Alligator mississippiensis: one gene and its partner. Each later gene encodes a partner of the first gene's protein in a complex. Links are inferred from orthologs where the notes say so. Each region holds a gene or a part of one and is shown on either strand. Other genes may lie near its edges.

The links. The genes of interacting proteins can lie anywhere in the genome.
Region 2: the proteins of F7 (region 1) and F3 are in contact, whole or in part, in a crystal structure (PDB 6R2W), measured with the Homo sapiens proteins. The link is inferred for Alligator mississippiensis from reciprocal best matches to the Homo sapiens genes F7 and F3. Residues at the interface, in NP_000122.1 of Homo sapiens: Leu73, Lys78, Phe91, Arg96, Leu99, Phe100, Ser103, Ser120, Lys122, Gln124, Leu125, Ile129, Cys130, Phe131, Cys132, Leu133, Pro134, Phe136, Glu137, Gly138, Arg139, Lys145, Gln148, Ile150, Val152, Asn153, Glu154; in NP_001984.1 of Homo sapiens: Thr49, Asn50, Lys52, Ile54, Glu56, Trp77, Lys78, Ser79, Lys80, Phe82, Tyr83, Glu88, Asp90, Asp93, Gly141, Gln142, Thr144, Glu162, Arg163, Thr164, Leu165, Arg167, Phe172, Tyr188, Trp190, Lys191, Ser192, Ser194, Ser195, Gly196.

What each region holds. Positions count from the first base shown.
Region 1 is NC_081824.1:351,926,784-351,934,664, forward strand, and holds the start of F7 (coagulation factor VII), read right to left. Parts: upstream 3,067-7,881; 5' UTR 3,006-3,066; coding exon 2,936-3,005; intron 12-2,935; coding exon 1-11. UniProt on the Homo sapiens protein: Initiates the extrinsic pathway of blood coagulation. Serine protease that circulates in the blood in a zymogen form. Factor VII is converted to factor VIIa by factor Xa, factor XIIa, factor IXa, or thrombin by minor proteolysis.
Region 2 is NC_081828.1:34,323,428-34,330,932, forward strand, and holds the start of F3 (tissue factor), read right to left. Parts: upstream 3,061-7,505; 5' UTR 2,962-3,060; coding exon 2,862-2,961; intron 2,124-2,861; coding exon 2,009-2,123; intron 1-2,008. UniProt on the Homo sapiens protein: Initiates blood coagulation by forming a complex with circulating factor VII or VIIa. The [TF:VIIa] complex activates factors IX or X by specific limited proteolysis.

The sequences.
Region 1 (7,881 bases):
CTTTAAGAAGACTGAAAAGTAGAAATGATTGGACATCTTTATTTGTTACACTTTTAACTTCAGAATCATGGAAAGTCGGGAAGATTCCAGCTAAAAGGAGTTTTGTATATTTTAAAATTGGGGGCTTTTTGTAACAGTGTTTAGAATATTCTCACTGTGCAACTTTGCAGTACCTCTGACAGAGATGTTTTTTCACCATGATGTACATATGAGGTCAATTGACAGATCTCACAATTTACACAGGCCACAACTTTAGAAAATTTTAACAGTGCTGCATTCCAGTATCTCATGAAGGAGTGTCAAGCATCACACTAGATTTTGTCAAAAGTAGGACAAGGTTTCCTTTAGTTCTGATACCTGAACTACCATACTGCTGGAGAACGGAAATACAGCTCCTCTCACAAATATATGATTTCTCTTTGCATAAATTTAATTATACTCCACATATTATATCACATGGTAAGATAAAGGGACATCCTTTGACCCTAGCTGACTTCCTGCCCCTGGGGCAGGGGGCTGGACTTGATGATCTTCCAAAGTCCCTTCCAGCCCTAATGTCTATGAAATCTATAATGCGAGACCTGAGGGCACTCTTTATCTGAAGCTTGTCTAACATCTGACTCAACTATACAGTTAGCTTCTCTAATAGAAGATATAACATGACTCCCCATATGTGATTGCCTCATCCTTTTTAAATCAAAATCTTCCAGTCTTTGGACCAGCAGGAAGGCTTCTGTGAGCCATTAGTTGTCCATAGACCATAACTGAAAAACCACTAATTTAGTATAGTGGTGACCAAACTTGTGGCTGCATAAGTGGTGCAGGGTTGGTCCACTGGCCAGATCTAGTCCATGAGCCCACAGTTGGTGCTCAATCCAGTGCGCAGTCCCAGCACTACACACTGGATTAGGCCTCTGCTGCAGCCCTGTATCCAGGACTATGCTAAGAGGCCCACAGTGTTTGGAAATTTGGCAGTGGGGGAGTGGTGGCAGCATGAATTGCTACTGAGCAGCCAAATTTCAGGATCACTGGTTTAGTACATTTCTCTCTAATTTCTTCTGAAAACACTTGTGTGCCCTAGCAATACTTCTGGCTGGACGTTGGGGCTGGGGGAGGGCGCACACAAGGCGGAGGCAGATCCAGCCTTATGGCCACATACAACAGCACCCCGTGCCACCACCACCTCCAAGGAGGTGGCGGCAGCGTGGGGTGCTGGCGACACAGTCCTGGTCTCACCCCCCACTCTGGTGCATAGGGCCAGATGCAGGGTGGGGGGAGCATGGGGCCAGAAGCAGAGCGATGGCACTGAGGGGTGCTGAGTGGCGGAGCTCCGTCCTTGTCCGTCCCCCGCCCCCATCAGTCACGATGGGCAACGGTGGGGATGGACTAGGCGGCAGTGCGGTACGGTGGGTGTCAGTGCTCTGTTCCTGCCCCCCCTCCCTGTCATTCTTGATGGGCAATTGGCTAGTAATTCATACCACTGTTATAGTTCATGATCATATTAATGTAGAATTCATGGTCTTTATATCATTCACGATACCCATATAATTTATAGTGAAAGATAATATTTTGTTATAATAATTAATTATATTATTTTTGGCCCAATGCAGTACTGTTTTCCTATAACTTTGTGCAGTAGAATGTACAATCTTTTTGAGTTAGTGTACAATACCTTCCTACATATTAAAGAGTTAATTCTGAAGAGTAGTGATAATTTCAATGTCAACACTGCTACTTATTTCACTTTTGAGCAGCTGAGCAGAGATCTGGGATTGATCAAGGACTATTTTCAGTATATTCTTCCTCTCCAGTATGATTCCCTAAAGAAAGCGATCTACCTTTCAGTCAGAAAGTGGTTTTCTTTCTGTTTTGCGAAGATCTGTGCAAGGAAATGTTGAAACTTACTGGTGGGGTGGGAGTAGGGAAGTGTGCCCTGCTCATGCTGTTTACCTGCCAACCATCACATCAGCATTAATATCATTAATATTTTTTAATACACATACAGACAAAATCAGAATAAAACAAAAAGAAAGGATTACTGCCACATGACATGTCCTTTAATGACAATGATTATTTTTTCTATAAACATTTGCTGAAACAGACTTTTTTCCCCTAGGAAATCTACAAAATAACAATTCTAACAGAGTCTTTATTTAGTCTAGTTCCTAAAATTCTATTTAGATGTCATTTTCACTGTTCTGTCATTGAATTTACGAGAGAAAATAAATATGTGAAAGCAATTTGGAGAAGTAACTTTACTGTTATGAGAATGTCAGTTACCTTTTGTTTCTGTTCATGTCCTTTTTTGTTCTTTCAGAGTAAAAGTCATTTTTCAGTATTTTGCAATTGTTTTCTTATGCCATGTCTACTTATTCATTTATTAAAGTAAATACATATGCATATATAATGACCTCCCCACCCCTTCTGTGTTCATGCATGTGCCTACGAAAGGGGAAAACCTTCCCTTTTCTTTTTTGTATTTTTTCAAAACTGCCTGTCCACATCAGTTGAAAAGGGATAGTGGATAGTCTAATCTCACTAGTGCCCCTCTGGCTGCTTGGCTGCTGATTTCCAGGCATATACTAGCACTACAGATAAGCCAGCAACTAACTTGTTGATTCACATTCATGTTATGCTACATATTTGTAATGTCACTCTTCTAATTTCTCCCTGATTGAATGACAGCTAATTGATTCTCTGCTTTCTGTATAATTCAATAATTGATTTTCAGATGAAACTAGAAGCAATTTTTCCACTGACATTTAAGGAGTAGACACCCATCCCAGAAGCTACAAGAGCACTGGAGTACTCATGCAGACAGCCACATTCATGAGGTATGTTTATATACGTTTCAAACCTCCTGACAAGAAAATAATGTGATTAACAAAAGAACATTTCATTGTTAATAACAGTACATCTGTTTCCTAGGACATACCTGCAGCCAGAGAAAGAGGAAACAGCAGCAAAAAGTAGAGAAGCAAAACTCTGTAGTGACAGGAAACCATGATGAAATCTAAATGCCGGTGTCCCAATAACTTGTTGACACTCCAGGAAGAACAGTGCAGCCAAAGATCTCTATTTTCAATGCTTTGACCTAGAGGAAGGGGTGGAGAATCACTACACAGAGAAAAATGAAACCTTTTACAAGGGGAAATGTTGCGATTCCTGAACACATTTTTGTGAACAAGCAAAGATGACCACTGTGAAGAACTCCTACTCGTATTGCGCAAAGACCAGGTTGAATACTATGAACTTTACAATGCATTTTTATTAGTTACCTAACATTCCTAAACGTGGAATACTAGTGTCAATAAATGGCTTCAATTTGAATAACATTGTATTATGTGCATAGCCACTCAAGCTATGCACAAAATAGCTTTAGTTGGCAGAATTCCAAGCTTCAGGCTTATTGGAGTCAATGGGATTGCATTGTTGATGCTTAACAATATCAGTTCATACATATTCTTCTACTTCATCACCACTGTAACTCCAAACTACTGCCTGACACTACTATGAGGCACTAATTAACTAACAAAAAGGGTCAAGTCCTGTTTTGCTCTGTTCTTTTTGCAGTTAAGGAGTCATATAATATATATTGGTATTTACAAATATCTTAAGGAATATTGAATAGAAGAGGTGAGTGGAGAAAAAGTGAAATTTCATTAATCTTTTCAGTGGTTTTGCTCAATGTGGTCTAATCCATAGCCAAAGTTTTATCTGGAAAACAAGCATTCCTTTGAATTAATAAGTATCAAAGACTAATAACTTCAGAATAGAGTTTGCAAAGATTTGCTTAAGATATCAGCAATGGTAGGATTGTATTTGTCTTTGGAGACAAGCATTCCATAGCAAGCAGTTCCTTTTATGATTCTACTTTTTTAGGATAAACGAAAGTGGATTCTCTGTGTACGTCAGTGTAATGAAGGGAAAGAGGCAGACAAGGGTCTTTGGGTAAATCTGATATCTTTTATTAGACCAACTAAAATAGTTGGAAAAATTCTTAGCAAGATTTTGGGTACAAACACCCTTTGTCAGGCTGAGGAAATTGCTTCCTTAGCCTGATGAAGGGTGGTTGTGCCTGAAAATTTGCTACAAAGAATTTTTCCAACTATTTGAGTTGGTTTAATAAAAGTTATCAGATTTACCCAAAGACCCTTGTCTGCCTATGTCCTCAGACCAACACGGCTATTACCTACATTCATGAAGGGAATGAGAAATTTTTACTCTGTTGCTAGCTTTCAGCATTATGGTCAGGGATCTTGGTTTTCTTTGATAAAAAAAAAGCGCCAGTTTTGGGATTTAAAAAAGTAACCCAAAAAATGTGGATTGTGGGTTTCTTTTTTAATCCAAAAATTGGGGCCTTTTTTTTCTTTAATCAGAGAAAACCAGGATCCCGGATCATGATTAAGAAGAACAGGATCAAAGAAATCCATGGGTGTTTATACACGTGCTCTGGGAGGTGGTCAGGGAGGGAGGGAAGTGCTTTAATTAGCAAGCTGTGCTAATCAAAAGTGCCCGAGTGCCACATGTATCAGCATCCCCATACTGAAAAAATGGTGGCGGGGTGCTTTGAATTAAAGCTTGCTCAATGAACTTTAGTTCAAAGTGCCCTGCTACCATTTTTCAGTCTGGGGATGCTGATACATGTGACTCTGGAGGCTGCTTGACCATGTTAATTTCCACACTCCAGCAGACTCGATTAATTGGGTCTGCTCTGATGTGCAGGATTTACAGTGCATTGGAGAAGCCTCCTTGCATGTGTGTAAGTGTCCCAAGTTTCCAGCTAGTCTATCTGTGTGCCATTTATGAATATGCTTTAAATTAGCATTTTTGGACAGAATGAAAATTCTGCTTTGAAATCTGGTTACAGTATAGGAACAGTGACCTTTTATTGGACCAACTTCATAGTTGGAAGAGATGTTAGAGCTTTTATTAGTCATAAAGTTATCATAAAAAATTATTGGACACTCATCCAATCCAAGTGATTTAATTTCTGTGACAAACAGCTCATCTTCCTTGCTGACACAATCCTCCTGCTTCTAGTTTCCTATTTCTCTTCTGCCTCATGAATTGGTTAGGAAGAGAGAAAATCTTGGCAGGTAGGCAGAAGAGAAAGTCTAGGAACTGGGGATAGAGTCAGAATAAAGGGACGAGTGTAGGAGGAGGTGCAAGTGTTTGGGGTGTTCTGCAGTACAGCAGGGAGGTCTGTGTTGACTCCTGGGATGGGTTAAGAAGGGTGGGATGGGCCTCCTGTTCAGGGAAAAGAGAGGACAGGAACAACTGGGAGGGAGATACAGCCCCACCAGATTAGGGTAGGAGCAGGAGTAGAAACTAAAATTGTGTTTACTTGTTTGCGACTGTTTCTGTATAGCAGCAAGAACTTATTCAGCTTTTGATGGTTAAGATAAGAACAAGTCTGTCAGATGCAATTGGAAATTTTACCTTTTTATCTTATATTCTGGGAGAACAAAAGCCACCATTATTATCTGAGCAAGCCTCTTTTTGCCATGAAAATAGGGACCACATCTTTGGCAGTGGAAGTGACTGGATTCTGCTACAGTAGGAGATTATTGCTATGGATTCAGTAGAACATGCATGACCCCACATTTAGTCGTGCAGCCAAACCTTAGTAGGACCTGTGCAAAGGAGTGATAGAGGCTTGGATACTGACCTCTCCTTTGTATTTGTAGGAAGAAATTGGCTTTATAAACCACCATTTCCACAAGCGTCTATGTACTAAGACTCCCTGCACATGCTTTCCCACTGTTTGTGTCAACTCTGGAAATAAGGGAGTGAGCATGTTCTGAGGGGTATCCCCAACACCATACCCCAAGTGGGCATTTTCAACACACTCAAGAGCAGTGGCTTGTGGTGCCCCCCCAGGGAACCATCAGTGTCTCATTTCTAAGGAGTGACATACACACAGTGGGAATGAATGGGCTTTCGTTTTGTTTATTCTTATTATTTCTTTGGGCTTATTTCCTTAGCAGCCAACACCTAGAGCAGTGATTCTCACCTAGGGGGATGTGGTACCCTGGAGTACCTTGACATCCTTTCAAGGGTGCTGTGAGGTGCCACACAATATTAGTACAGTTTGGCATGAGAAAATTACAAGATAAATCCAAAGATTTCAGATAGGAATCCATAGTGTTACAAGTGTTCTAACCTACTGTGGTCTTTCTGAGCTCTTTGCAGCAGAAAAGTTGCTCTGTTATTTTTCTGTAACCAACAAATAAGTGAAAACTAAGGGCTGGCATTTTCCATAGGGTGCTTTGAGTCTGAAAAGGTTGGCATGCCTAACAGTGCTGACATTGTATGGCACCCCAAGGCACCCTGGAAAATCACAAGGCACCTCAGGGTGCCCTGGCACTGCCTTAGGCATGTTATTTTTGTAGCACTACAAAAAAAAATAGATAGTTATGCACAGCTCCCTGGCTGGAGTTTGACAGAATCACCACAGAGGCATGTTCTCCTGTCAGGGCATAATAGTGGGGTGCTCCTTACTCTCCCTATGCCTGGAGAGCTTGTCAGTGAACAATAGCTGATGAGCAAGGATCCTGGTTTTCTCCGATTTAAAAAAACAATACCAAATTTTTGGTTTAAAAAAAGTAACCCCAAATCCACATTTTTCCATGATGAAAATGAAACACCACTAATATATAGTTTAATGGCATTTCATTGCTCACGGAAACATGTGGATTTAGGAATACCTTTTTTTTTAACTGGAAATTGGGGATTTTTTTTTTTTAATCAGAGACAATCAGGATCCCTGCTGATGAGGCTGCATGGAAGCTACCTGCAAGGGTAAGGGCTGATTGAACAGTCTTTGCCACCCAGTCAGCTCTTGCCGGGGCTGGCAGTAATGGTTAAAGCAGCCGCACCTTTACAGTCAACAGGAGGTTTTAAGGTGAGAGCTGCAGAAAGAGTGTGTCGCAGACCAAATCAAGAATCCAGCGCCACCCACCCCACATGGAAACACATGTGCAGCAGACTCTGTTGATCTCAGATAGGCCTCATCAGCTATCTTCAGACACACAGATAAGACAATCATGGAAGACAATCATCCATCCGTGACTGCAAGGGATTGCTGAATATGGTTACAGTTTAAAGTTGCTGGTGCTTGAGCTACAGCAGCCCTTTAGCGTGATAATTAGTCTCATAGAGAAGTAGGGCTGGCGGGGATCACCAGAGGTCATCTAATCTAATCCAAACTATACCATCCCATACAAACCATAAGTGAAACTCTACATAAAACTAGTCAACCCTGACACAACACAAACCTAACACCCTAACCTGCTACAGGTAAAGCAAGGGAACCATAGTGGTCATCCTGCTTCTAGAAAATGTTGATTCAATATACACTCAAGAGGTCCTGGGTAGAGGACCACACCCCCCACTGCAGAGAAAGGCAAAAACTCCTGCAATGCACACCAATCTGACCATGGGGTAAAATTCCTTCTTGGCTGCAAACATGGCAATTGGTCTGACCCTGAGCAGAAGGGCAAAATCCACTACCCAGAAATCTCTGGCTTTGGAACCAGCAGGAACATTGGCACAACCCAGTCAAAGTCCCCAGCTTTGGCTGTAGCCAACACTCAATGCCTCTGAGGAAGGCTTAAAAACACCCTAGCACACATAGCAGAAAGGAAGGGGAGGGGGCAACCAGCAGAAGTCCTCAGTTTGCAGGCAGTTCTGTCACCCTTGCTGCTAGGTGACAGGATTGATGCAGTGGCTGATTAGGTGGTAGAGACTGGCTGATTTATCCTTGCTACCCAGGGCAGCTCTCAAGGAGATTCCTGCTGGGCTTCTCCTTGGAGCAAAAGAGGAGTGGAGCAATATGGGATCCTGGAGGGGGCAGGAATGAGGGTTATCTAGATCTGT
Region 2 (7,505 bases), on another chromosome or scaffold:
AACTAACTGACTTTCCTTCTCTGCTAAAAAGAAACATGCAGTTTAGAGAAATATATGGCTTTATACCTAAATGTGGACATACATTTTTATATCCAAATTGAAAATAAATTACCATTGAATAGATTCTGACTGACTTTAAAAGATATTCTATAATAAAAAGGCAGAACATCTTCAAAATGTACTCTCAAGTCACTTGTAAGATTACATGGCATGGAAATCTGAAAATGTTTACAGGCAATAACACATTTTCAGATCCTATACCCTAAAATAATAAAGGCTTAAAAAGGCCCTGCTGACAGACATCATGAAGAAATTTCTTATCCTGCAATTATGCTTGTCTTCACTAGATGGTATAAGCAACATTAAAAATCCATTCATCATCATCAATAACAGGAGTAAGAACTTCTTTATATTAAATAAACAATTGACTGAAAGAAAACAAAGCAGTTTTGTCACACTAAGTCAGAAGGAAAATTGTACTCATGTAACTTATGAAATTAAAGTGCAAAGGACTCAAAACTGTTTGCACTTCTCATTTGGGATGGATGGAGGGATAGAGGTAATAGTTGTGTCAGTATCAAAAATAGGCTGTTAGGGGTTGAGAGCAAGGTACAGTACTTTTGCTACTAGTGAATGCATCCACATGGGTGTACTACTGCGCCTGTGGAAGTCTACAGTACTTCCATTTACAGATCTCATCATACAGCTATTTTTTCACTAAAAAAAAAAAGTGAAGTAATTAATACCAGTCTGTTCACATTGCCTCCAAGTACATTTAAGTAATTTTTGTAACATTATTTAATTGTTCTCTCCAAAAGATCATTTCTATTCATATAAGACGCTTAGTACTAAAATAGTACAACTTGCAAATTAACTAGCTTTTGTTAGACTCTGCTCAAACTAAACCAGAAAAAAAAGTGAATCAGACTCCTTCTTAAGATATAACTATTTGCGTGATTAAGACTAGCAAAGTTTGGTCCTGTATGATTCATGTTATATTACATGCACATAGAATTCCCTAAAGGCCCAATCAACATCAAATGGACTCAGCACCAAATTTTAAAAGGTAAAAGGTACAAACAGATATTTAGGGTTTTCTGAAAACCAACTTGGCTAACTTACTGAACAGTAGGTGTCTAAAGAGGCAGCTAGGAACACAAATACCTTTGGAAGTATGGCCCTAATTAGGCAGAATGCTGACCTCTATGGTCCTGATCCTGCGCGGTGATTTGCACTAGTCGACTACTATGCCACACTATAGGCAACCATTTGATTTAACTAAGTGGACCTCTCTTGATGGGAATTACATGGATCATACTACATGATATGGAAGCCTGTGTCTATCAGCATTTGCAGGATTGCACCGTTTGGCTGCGTTATGGAGTTCTGTTTAAACGTTTGCCTTCAAAATGCTGTCATGGATTGGGCAAAGTCATTCAATTGCCCCAGACTCACACTGACAAGGTCAGGTCACTGAATTATTGCTTAGGTATTTTTCTCATTGCTCATTATATTGAGCCCTCAGTTACAGGCACTGAACCTGCCAGAAATTGTTACAGTAATATAAGTGGCACCACGCTGTAGACAGAGCAATAATGCAGTTTCTCTTTGGGACATGTTTAATCATCATTTCCTAAGCTAATTCACAGAAGTTTTAATATTCTACAGATATTGAGGTGGAACATTGTAACAATCAAAAAAAATGTTAGGCACTTCTGCAAGCTTGGGTTTTATTCATCCGGTATGTGACATTTGTTTTATAAACCATGAAGGAGACAAAGGAAGGCTAGACAGATTTAGATGAACAGAGGCGATTTGAATGTTACCCAACAGGACTAATTATTACCAGTACTTTTAATGAGTTGCTGATTAATACAAAAATCCATTTGCAAAATGCTAGAACTCTCTCCAAGTTACTTTTATAAGTTTATACAGAAGCTTATGTATAAACTTAAAAAGAGGGTCAATATGCATTGGCACAAACACATTTCCAATTATTTCTACTTACCCAAATATTTCTACGGTGTAAGCATAGTTGGTCGGCTCTGGCAGCCACTTTAGTAGTGTTTTAAAATTGATTGATGTCCAAGTTATATTAACTGCTGTTGGCACTTCTGAGTTACCTTTAAAAAGAGAGAAGAGAAAATGGGCTCAGTGACATTGGGTAAAGCTGACAGCGTATTTAGATTCAAAAGACAGGACAAATCCATGGGGGCATCAGCAGCTACTGAGAGCAGGAGTGAGGGACACAGCCTCCGAATCAGAACTTCCTAGACATTAGACGCTGCAAGCTACAAGGGAGAGAAACAGTGCAAAAACCCAGGTCATACCCAGTTCCCTCCTCCCCAGCACCTGTACTCTGCCCTTGCACCACACAGGACCCAGGCAATGGCAGCTCGGCTCGGTGGCCAGCAGGCAGCCAGGCGCCCCGGAGGGACTCGAGGCCCTCTCGGGAAGACACCAGCTCTTGGTTTTCACTCTTGTTTTGCGCGCAGGAAGACAGACAGCAATTTTCCTGTTGCAAAACACTCCAAAAGACCACAGCCCTGGACTCGAATGTGAAGTCTCTTGGGGGCATCCTGTGCATCCTATTCGCCAGGCGGACCGTGCCGGGCTCTCACAGCGCCCGGGGGCACCCCGCCGGCCTCGCAACGCAGCTTGACAGTCCCTGGTCCAACCGAGGGGCTCAGCAGGTGCGACCCTGGGGAGCTGACGGGCAGGTGGAAGAAAACCGGGGCGCTGTCTCCTGCTCGAGCCGTAGCCCCGGTCCGCCACGCATCCCCCAGCCCCTCCGCCGCGGCAGCCTCGCCCCGAGGCTCAGGTGCCGCCGCCGCCGCCGCCGCCGCCGCGCGGGCACTCACCGGAGCCGGGCGCCGCCAGCGCCAGCAGCGCGCCCAGGAGCAGGGTCCGTCCGGGCACCATCCCGCGGAGCGGAGAGCAGAGCAGAGCAGAGCAGAGCATGTGTGCGGTGCCGCTAGGCGCCCGCCCTTATAGCCGCCGGGGGAAAGTCCGCGGGCAGACTGGGCGGCGCAAGGTGACTCACGCGCCGGGACGAGCCGGTCTTACCCCAGGTGCTCGGGCGGGCTGGGCTGGGCGCGGGGCGCTGCAGGGCGGCGGGAGAGCAAGCGCCTGGCTCTGCCCTGCCCCGGCTGCGGGGAGCGGCCGCCCCCCGGGATGCTCGCTCCGCGAGGGCCCGCGGCCGCTGCCTCCCTCCCTCCCTCCCGCAGCTCTTCTCCTGGGGCTGGTGATGTCTCTGGTGGGACCAGCTGCGGAGGAGGATAGAGGCGCTTTGGGGCTGCCACGCCTCCAGGACTGCCCTGGAGTCTCCAGGAGTTAGAGATCATCTCCAGGAGACTGCTGAGAGTCACCGGGGAAATACGTGATAGCGCATCCGTTCAACCCAATATTAAATGTTGAATCCAATGTATACGGGAGGTTTTTAAAAAGTAATAGTCATGTACATTTGCCTTCCCGAGCACGGAATAGTCAGTCATTAATGTCATTTACATCATGTGACGGACCCTAGGCGCAGAGTGAGTGTCCTTTGTTAGGGCCTGGGAAAGGCGCTTGGTGTCCAGACTGTTGTCTCTTCCCATACGTTTGCTCCAATAAAGGGATGGCCAGGAAGTTGTTCCTCCTTGCATGTTTCCTGGCCCCTAGTGGCTGCAACTCTCTGCTTGAAGTTCTCTCAAGTATTTCAGGGTTTCTACTCCAGGTTAGTAGGGACTTGTAATGACTTTTATTCAAGTAACCGAGACAAGTAGTTTGCACAAAATCACACAGGAGGTTCTGCTTGCTGCTGAACTCAGGCCTTCTCTGTCCCTAAAGCCTGCTTATCAGACTTCCTGCCTGCATCTACATGTGCAAGGGATACACAAAGCTCTTGGGTCAGAGGCAATATCTATTATTAGACCAACTAAGTACAGTAGTAGCAAAAAAAATATTTCTTTGCAAGCTTTTGGGCACTGACACCCTTCTTCAGGTTGAGGAAAATTGAAAGATTGTAAAAGTCCTCATAGGTAGAAAATAAACTCCAATTTGGACATGGGTAATAGAGGCTGGAAGTGTATTCCCCTGGGCATTTGAGAGTCCTTTTATGAGTCTGTTGCTCTGTGATGTGCAGATTAGGCTGTCTTCATCCCTGAAGGTATCCAATGTCAGAGGCAGCCAGGGAGGTGAAAAAATCCTTCTTTGTTGTTTAATTCAAAACAATAAACTCTGAAGCTTTTTGAGTCAGAGTAAACTACTCCCTGGTGCAGCATCTACATGTGCAAGGGTGGGCGGGGGCTAGCTCCAGGTGGCAGTGTCAGGCAGCGGAGGGGCTGGCTGGGGCACAAGGGTACTGAAAGTGCAGAGCCATGTAGCTAGGCAGGAAGCAAGAGTCTAGCCCCCTGCTGCCTGGGTTGACCAGGCACAATTTATACCTGCAGCCAGCATTGACATGTATATTTAATCACAGATAACTACCCCACTGTAAGATAGTTCTGTCAGTGACAGTACTATCTATTTTTATTCTTTTAACTTTGTATTAAACTCCTATCCTATGTGTGGTTCGATTGTCTCCTGTATTAAATACTTCTGAGTAAAAGATTTTGAGGTTTCCTTTACTGTATATGTGAATTCACTCTTATGCAATGACACTTTTTATACCAAAAATTCATTCATATGCAAGGTAAATTCACTCTTATGTGATTGGTGTGGTGGAAGCCTGCAGTCAGCTGCTTTGTTCAGTGCATTGTGGCACTGATGTGCACCAAAATATAGTCTCCTGTGTGGTTCTGTGCTCCTGGCTCGTCTGTGACATATGTTTCTGTAGTTGCCATCCCCATTATGATAGTGCCCTGTGCTCGTGTGTACCGTCTGCTGTTGGAGAGTACCAAAATTGTTTTGTAAAAGTGGTAGAAATGGGTCTGGGGGTCAGTATAGTCCAGGTCTTGGAACATATCCCTATTTGTTACATTGTAAAGTGTTATGCACCATTTTCCAGGAATGCATCTACAGCATAAAGCTAGGGAAACCTGTACTTTCTTACAAATTCTTCTATCATGGTAGGAATCTGCATAGTATGCTACTTTAGTTAGCGTAGTAATTTCATAATTTCACAGTTGTCATTTTTCCCTGTGTCTAAATATGTGGGCACCTATCACGGCCAAGCTCTGTACTGACTTATAGCCCTGGAAACCTCCACGCCTGGGCAGAATTTGGCATCCTTTGTCTTCTATCAAGCTTGACACAAAAGGTCACCTAGAACTAGGTCTGTTGTATGTGTCCTAGCTTTTTGGACATAGAGAACACATTTTGGTTTCCAACAGAGTTCCTAGTTCCCACAATTCTATCACGTCTGCAAGAGTTAGTGTTTTTACCAAGCTATCAGCATCTGAAGTTAAAGGATTACATGAGAATCTCAGTTTTCAGTTAAAAAGTACATTCCTTACTCTCACACTTTTGAAATGTATAACCTAATGATTCAAAAGGCAAATAATAAGAATCTTATATATACCATTTAAAAATATCTTTCTGTTTTGCACAAATCTCATGACTTTGGGGCCCAATTCATATACAGGCAGTCCTCAGACTTATGCAATTGGTTCCTGAAAACTGTGTCTTAGGTCAAAACATAAGTTGGAACCAATTTTCCCATAGGAACAATGTTATAAAAGGGAGATTGGTTTCTTTATGACACTTGATACAGGTGTGTGCAGCTGGTAAGTCTGTTGTGGTGGGGAGGGTGAGGGAGGGGTCACGGGGAGTCAGATCAACACCCTTGCAGTGAGGGAGGGATTGGGGCTGGGGCTAGGACAGGGGTTGGGGCAAGTGCTGCTCAGTCGGGGCAGGGGATGCAGGGAGGCGGTGGGATGGTTCCTGCTGCTGCATACCGCCGGTCTGCGAGCTGCTCATCTGGCAGCTGATCCGGTGGCTCTCACCGCTGCTCCTGCAGCGAGTCTGGGAGGGCATGGCAGGGGGGTGGGGTGTGTGCCCCTGAATCTGTGTGGGGTGGGTGGGGCTGGGGCTGCATGCTGGGTGGATGGTGGAAGGCACTAGGAGTGGGGGCTATGCCCTGCTGCTGCTCGCCCAGCTGGAATGGGGCAGAGCCATTGCACTGCCTCCGGACAAGTGGTGCAGAGCAACGGGAGCTGCCCTGGCCACCCTGCACCTCCTGGACAAGCAGCAGCTTTGTCCCACAGCTCCCCTCCCCGCCCTGGCTGGGCAAGTGACAGCAGGGCATGGGGGGGCATGTGCTTCTGGATCAGGATGGGGAGGGCAGGGGACCTGGGGCTATGGTGTGGGGGAGTACTGCCCCACCTGCTCTGCCCTGATCCAGACCAATCATACCTAACTACTGACACACAAATAAAAAACTCATACGTTAATGCCAGTAATGATTCGATTTCTTTTTGCAGATGCAGCTTTGTGATTATTTTCTTTGCAGAATTTTGTAACCTTTAAGCTGGGGTGTTGTGATATTTTAGGGTGCTATAGAACATGCATAATTCCATGGTGACACTTTTGGAGTAATTCTAGAATAACCGGAATTGATATTAAAGATTTTTTACCTTTGCTATTTGAACACCGGAAACAGCTAAATTCTCTCCTATAAAGCATAGTCCCCTTGGGAAGGCTGAACTGATACTTCACCTATACAATTTCAGTTTCACATATGTTTCATTCAAAGCTCTTAATTCTGTAACCCTTCCTCTTGTTGAATAGAACTTACTTGTGTGAGTAATCATACTGATAAAGACTGTCTGCATTATCAGTGCTTTGCCAGTAATGGGGATGCAGCTTATACCAGAATCCCTAATGGGGATGCAGCTTATACCAGAAATACTGCTCTCTTCCTGGCATTGTTTATTCCAAACAACCAAGTTATACTGCTAGTATATGGCAGTCAGGACTTCTCTTCCTATCACTAAATTACATAGCTATGCTAGAAGAAATCTGTAGTGCTGGCATGTCTTTACCTACCTGAAAAAAGTTTTCATAAATAAGTCCAAAAGTTTCATTAATCTCTTGTTTTCTAGGAAAGAATTATGCTATATTTGCTGATATTGTGAATATATCTGCAGATATTTACTCTACTTCTTAAACATTATTACCATACCTTAATGATCTACTTTAGTGGGAAATTAATTTATGAATTTGTGGTATGAAATTAGTGCTATAAATTGCAGCATAATCAAATTAAGAATAGTTGAAGAGAAACAATTTCTAACTTGCTTCATACTTATAGAAATATAGTGTGTGGACTTACCCTAAACTCTCTCTCTCAGATCAACTGTTGTCAAATAGCAGTTGAAATATAAAGATAAATGAATGCTACTTAAACACTGCCTATGTCCAATATTACAAATAAAAAATATAAATTTTGGATGGTTAGAAAGGTTTCATGGAAAGCCACTATTACACTAGCACTCAAGACAGAATTACTAAGTAGTTTTGAAATACAAAGAATAAACAAGTCCCAGATTACTTACAGATCAGTTCCTTTCCTGGAGATTCTACAA